Saccharomyces cerevisiae S288C: one gene and its partner. Each later gene encodes a partner of the first gene's protein in a complex. Each region holds a gene or a part of one and is shown on either strand. Other genes may lie near its edges.

What was found.
Region 2: TIM12 (region 1) and TIM54 share a complex: the UniProt entries of both Saccharomyces cerevisiae proteins name them as parts of the TIM22 complex.

The regions. Positions count from the first base shown.
Region 1 is NC_001134.8:426,649-429,605, forward strand, and holds TIM12 (Tim12p), read right to left. Parts: upstream 837-2,957; coding exon 507-836; downstream 1-506. Other genes in the region: YBR090C (uncharacterized protein), read right to left, coding at 226-410; acid phosphatase PHO3, read right to left, coding at 1,050-2,453; acid phosphatase PHO5, read right to left, coding at 2,900-2,957. UniProt on the Saccharomyces cerevisiae protein: Essential component of the TIM22 complex, a complex that mediates the import and insertion of multi-pass transmembrane proteins into the mitochondrial inner membrane.
Region 2 is NC_001142.9:332,371-336,201, reverse strand, and holds TIM54 (Tim22-complex subunit TIM54), read right to left. Parts: upstream 1,938-3,831; coding exon 501-1,937; downstream 1-500. Other genes in the region: retromer subunit PEP8, read right to left, coding at 1-304; LOG1 (Log1p), read right to left, coding at 2,108-2,845; ZAP1 (Zap1p), read left to right, coding at 3,129-3,831. UniProt on the Saccharomyces cerevisiae protein: Essential component of the TIM22 complex, a complex that mediates the import and insertion of multi-pass transmembrane proteins into the mitochondrial inner membrane.

The DNA of each region.
Region 1 (2,957 bases):
TGGGCGGCTATTTCATTTCACCTGAACCGTATTAAAATATCATCTTCCTTGCTGCTACAACCTTCATTGTAGCCGGTTTATAAGATTACCATCATTGTCTACCCCTCTTTAACTTCTCCCGAAAAGCAGAGTTGCCCTTAGCTGTATCCTGTTCTAGCTGTGCTAAACTGTACGTTCTTATTAAGCCCATCCTCGTCCGCTGGGCTCACCCAGCGCCTTACATACTTTGCGAAAAAGTCGTTTTTCTGCTTGGTGTTAGGAGCTGTCTCCCATAGTGTAAACTCCCAGTATTGCCTCAACCTCACTTGCTGTACTTTATAGTTGCCGCGCCACCTAAAAAAAAAAACAAAAAAGACACCACCTAAAAAAACGGGTGAGGGGAATGCACGTGACCCAGGTGCGGGTACCATATAAATGTACTTCTAAAATTGTCTACACAGCTTATAATGCTATATATGCAGGTTACTATTATATACAAACAGCACAGACAGTCCTCATATTTACAGCTATTTTTTGGAATCATCAGCTATTTCTTTGGCCACAAATCGCGAATAATGTCGTAGCTGATTCTCTGGCCCGAAACCTCGTGTTTGTACAAATCCTCCAATGAGGCGATTGCTGTAATGCATCTTTGCCACACATCTGTCTATGCAGCATTGCTCACCTTTCGTTAGATCAGGCTCACCAAAGCCCTCATGCGGAATACATTTCTCAAGACACGTACTGAGAATATTGTTGAAAGTCGAGCACATCGCATCGAATTGCACTCCTGCAACGTCTAGCTTCTCTTGCGAGACCTCCTGGTTGCCCCTTAGACTATTTAAAAAGAACGACATCCTTTTCTTGGTGCACTTTAATATTATACGGGAGCTCCGATATCTATTTCAGCAATATAGACTACAATCAACTTTGCTGTTCTTACTTTTTAGTTAACTTTTTTCTTTTCATTCTGCCGCTAATCTACAAACTCGTTACCCTACTAGTACATAAAAGAAGATCAGAATCGATGGGTATTTATTTATATTTGCAATATTATTTATTTATACAATTTATTGTTTTAATAGGGTATCGTTGTAGTGAGTAGTATTCCAGTCCCAGTAGAAGGTCAATTCGGTGACGTTACTGACACTGCTGACGTTACAGACCTTTAGGAAGTCAGTACCAGCTACTCTCTTTTCAGCATAGTCGTAGAAATCATTGATTTCACAAGAGAACCCTGGGCCGGTGGAACAGGTTTCAATTGGAACGACAGCATCGTTAATGACGTATCTGACGTAGGTGTCGTTAGAACATTGGAATTTTTCGGTGTAGACACGAGCACCTTGAGGAACGTACCAGGACTTATGGAAGGTGTTGCCCATGAATGGAACGTATTCGGCAGTTAAGTTGTTTTTGTCGTCAATTATACCAGCGGTGGTCAAATAGTTTAGGATATCGGTATCGTGGGTAAAACTCAACCAGACTTTTAAGTCTTGAGTTTCACTTTGCTTTAACAACTTCAAAGTAGCGTTAAACAAGTTGGCACCGACGGATCTGATCATATCATAACCTGGTCCATCCTGGTAAAACGATACCAGGTCCTGGCCGTATGAGTAACGTACCAATTCATCTTCGGTGAAGATATCACAAACATCACTGTAGCCTCTAGCGTTCAATTCGTATGCACACCATGCAAACAAAGTGTTGGCGTCCTTTGAGGTCAAATTCAAACCCTTGTTTTCTTTGTTTAATCTCTTGGCAATGTCATCCAAGTATGTGGTATCGTATTTGTCCAAAATGTCATCGTTAGCATCTTCATCCCATCCTGGGCACGCATTACCAGCACTCAAAGTGTTTGCGCCGGCGGACATGGCTTCACTGACAGTCTGCAAGGAGATGTTGAATTGGTCACCTAAACCATCAATGAAATATTGAGCAGTGTCATGAACCCTTTCAGAACTAGCGGCGAAAATTGGGAAACTGGTTTGATTTTCGAACATGTAGCCATATTGCGCTAAAAACTCACGAGCATGTCTCTTAGCATCCATCTCACCAGTGTATGGATTCAAAACATTGTCTGAGTTGGCAAAAGTGGTTTCCATTTCCAAATCATCGTCATCACGGATGAAAAACTCGTAATCATCGTTCAAGAATGACAATGAGCCGTTGAATTGACGTGTGTAATTGCTCAACTTATACCATGTTTTCATGATGGTAGCACCTTTACTGTAAGTTGGGTATCTTTCACCATGTCTGGCAAGCATTTGCAATTGTTTCATTTCACAACCTTCAGGCAAGTCACGAGAAATACCATAGTCGCCAGGGAAAGAGAAGTATGGCCCGGCACCACCCAGGAATGGGAATATGTCTTCCTGAGTGCCAATTTTGGCAACATCGGCTAACTCTCCGAGGGGAATTGTACCTGCATTAACTAAAGCAGCGGCTAGAACCGAATAAACAACAGACTTAAACATAGGTAATTTGGAATGGCCCTTTCTTTACTGTAGTATTTTTTTTATGATAATCAAGGCATAATTGACTTCCATCCAGCAAATTTAAGCACTTATATATGTTGCATAGGACTACTCAAAGCTGTTTACTATTTCCCAAACTGGTATTATTTAGTAAATTTCTTTTGAATTTTTTTTTTTTCACTCTTCCTTTTTTTCATTTTTGCGATGCCAGTTCTTTGAGTTTCCCTTATACGGCATATGCACTTAAGGTTTGATTTTGCTAATTAAAGGCGTGCCTAAGCGGCGACTAATACTGTAATATAATATGGGTTCCTGACTGACTACAGGGATTGAAACATCCATTTACCTGTTTCGGATATCTCTGCAGATTTTAATCTTTCGGCAAAATTTAGATAAAAAATTTGGGTATTCGTATTTAGTTTCCAATATTATTTAGTTATACAAAACTATTGTCTCAATAGACTGGCGTTGTAATGAGTAGTGTTCCAGTCCCAGTAGAAGGTC
Region 2 (3,831 bases), on another chromosome or scaffold:
AGGAAGATGATGTGCTAGAGGTAACTTTTTTAGAAGATGAATTACCGCTCCCATGAGATTTTAACATATCAATGGATCCAATAACGGACACTTTTATGCCCAAGTGGTCTACCTTTTTACTATCCCGAACTCTCAAAGTAACAATTCCACCAAGGGATTCGCCATCTTCATAGACGGGCAAGCTTTCCTTCATTGATTTGTAACTGGAATTACTTGATCTTGTTGCAATGTCTACGTGTTTGCGAGATTCCTCATTATCGAAAAGGATCTCAATATCAATCGGCGGCTTGAAAAAAATACTCATAATGCTAATAATAGTTGTGCTTGGATTCTTTTACAATGTACACATTTTATTATATTTACAGATTTTATATATATGTATATGTGTGCATATATAAAAACTATTTCAACATGAGTAAAGGGAAATCTTCGAAAAGGGTTTGGTATATGTCAGACATAACGTCGATCGTGCATGATGATAAAACATAATATATATCCAATTAAATATCTGATTCTGGCTCTTCCTTGGGTGGTTTTTCGTAAACAAACATATGCTTCGTGATTCTAGGATCACATACTAATTCTTGGGTCCATTCGCTGTTCTTTTCTTTACCCTGTTTGACCCAGTTCTGTGGCCAATCTTTTTCTTCGTCCTTCGCCAAATCAATATCCTTTGCAATATCAAACGGTCTTATACGGGTTTGTCGAACACAGTTAACTACACTTGAACACACGTCCTCTACGTAGAAACGCTTCTGGTAAAAACGATGTATTCTCCTTGGAATGGTAGTAAAACCTATCAAGTTAGGTATTGGAATGACCAATAACGGCTGATTAATCAGAAGCGGGATATTTGTATTGGGGTTTCTTATGAATTCGCCATTTGGAGTTTGTAATTCCGAAGCGATTTGCAGGTCAGGGTATTGGTCTGAAGAAATAAATGGCTTCAAAAATTTTTGCGAATCCTCTGAGCTGTTTTCTTCATCAACCTTTAGATCATCTTGTACTTTGGCCTCTTCCAAAGCAGTCTCTTTCTCGGCATCCACCAGTTCCGTAGCACCGGATTCACTTACCTTTGATTCTATTTGATTTGCTTCTACAACCCCAGTCATCTTAGGCTCAGTGGATCCTGTTTTTTCGGTCTTCTCGATGGGTCCAAGCAAGCCTTCGTGAATACCGGCAATGTACTCCTTATAGGCGCCTCTACCTAAACAAATAACACCACCAGATAATATAGGGTCCTTTGTCAGGGCGTCTTCACTTATTATATGCTTCGGTTTTGGCATTGTATAGAAGATACCTATAACGTTTCTCCAGTCGAAGTTCTCCTTGAACTTTTTACCGATTTCTGGATCAAACGAGTCATCTTCTTCAGCAGGATCTTGAATGATTTTATTGAACGGTAGTAGTGATGAAATTTTACTGGTTGAAGAACCACTTGGTTTTGCTACCGTTTGGTTAGGCTCTTTAACTGGCTGCCCATCCGTCGATGCCAATATTTCCTTTCTCAATTCTCTGATTCTGTTGGCTACATTAGTTCTAATAATCCCTTGCCTATCCTCTTGAACTAATTCATAGTCCAACCCTGCATAATACAGTACAGGCTTAACATATCGTCTCCAAACTTTCAACGAACTCTCCAGATAATCATTTGGAGGAGGTGCAATAAAAACAGTGATCTTTCGTGGCACTTTGTCTACCTCCATGGACTCCTCTGCCAAAGGCTTCACCAAGTCTGTTGCATGGCTCAGAATCTGACGTTGCTTGTATTTGTCATAGGCTATGCCACCGATGGATACTGTTAACACAGACCAAAAGATCATCCAGTTTCGAGAAGGCAGCCTCAAGGCGGGTATACCAAGGGCTTTTAAAGCCGGATTGGTATAGCCAGGCTTCCTAATAGGCTTAGCAATAGGCTTTCCTGATTCAGAAGACATGGTCTATTGAGCTTCTTTTGAGAACAATGGACTTTAAAGCTATGATGTCTTTGCCATCAGTACTATTTTTTCCAGCCTTCGGGCTTAGAAAGACAGCTCCTAAAAATTTGGATTTTTCACCACATTATCTATACAGATCGTTTAAACTAGATACATGACTTACGTTTCTATTATTTAGCACAATCCTCGTGAGCGTGACCTTCGTCGCTCCAATTCAAATTGAAACGGCCCTCTGGAACGACGTACTTCTCTATTTTATCAACAACTTCCTGCGGAGTGGAGGCAACTTGAATGATTTCACCATTCTTCACACTGATGAACCGTTCTTGAATAGAGTGTTTGAGGAACTCCAATAATTTGTCATAGAACCCATCGATATTGAACAAGATAATTGGTTTATTATGAATCCCCAGTTGCGACCACGTGATACATTCCATGATTTCTTCAAAAGTCCCGTATCCACCAGGCATAGCAACAAACGCGTCACTCAAATTTGCCATCATTCTTTTTCTCGTATGCATATCTGGTACAATCGTTGTTTCCCCATACTCTTCAGAAATAGGAGTGGCGCCCTTATGATTTTCTACAGACTCCAACAATGCTTTATTAACATCTTCTTTATCCTCGTCTGTCCTTTCCTTAGACACAAGTGCATTTGGAATGATACCGTGAACCTGTCCGCTTAAATCAGGTCCCATCGTAGACCTTGCTATCTTGCCCATCAAACCAGTAGTGCCTCCACCGTATACCAATTTCCATCCCAGCTTATGGAAAAGGGCTCCTAATTCTTCTGCACTTTCTGAGTATAGCGCCTTAGCGCCAAATGAAGACCCGCAGTAAACACACACAGACTTGCCGCCTACTTGGCCACCACGGCTGCTATTACCTCCATTTTTTTCCATTGTCATCGCCGTTTCTTAGTACTGGATTGCCTGCGATTTACTCTAGGGATCTTCCTATTCAACTGTTGGAAATAATTCTCCTTCCTTAAACGCCCAAAACATGATTATATATCACTGCAGACGGAGTAGTTGACAGCAGTCATCTACCCTAAAGGTCATGATGAAACGTGCTTGGCAATATAAGATGCAACTGCAGTCACTGTGAATATAGGCCAGCGGCGAGACGGAAGCATTACACTTTTACTTTTTATGTGTTACGGTTTTTTAAATAGAAGAAGGATAGGAACTAATGGATGCGTTGACTCCCAGGGACTCCCCCAAGCGCGATGACTCGATGGCCACGAGTGCGGCCACTGCTGCTTCTGCCAAGCCTGATGCTCTGACGATAGGTAAAGAAGGCATTGTCCACGGGCACATCCATAACTACAACAACCTGACCTATATCCATGGTCACCTTCACCACAGCGCGCCTGTGAACGACAGTAGTGCTTCGGCAACACCTGCAGCCGCAGCTGTTGCTGATGCCGCTACTTCCGCATTTGCATCTGGAGCTAGCCATGATATGGGTGGTGATTGCCACGTCAATGAGAAATGCAAGGAGTACACCGACTGCCAACATTTCGAGTTCTTGAATTATCACAATAATCCGTCATTAACAAAATATAATGATACTGCAACGTATAATTCTAATAATCATTCTTTTGCAAACAATTTCCATTCGGTAGCTTCTGATCCGACAAGTCCCCAACAGAATTCTAAAAGCGACCTACCACGTAGAAAAGATTCTTGGTTTAACGACGATCTGATACTGCTGCCCTCTTCCAAGAAAAATAAACCGAACCCACCACCTGGATCCGATGATTGTTATTGTACGCCCAAGATTTTGGAAATATGTTGTGACGAAACTCATCCCAAAAGTGAGGCTAATATAAAACAAGGTGAATCTGATCAACCGACAAAGAAAGACATATCTGAGAACGGCAATGATGTTG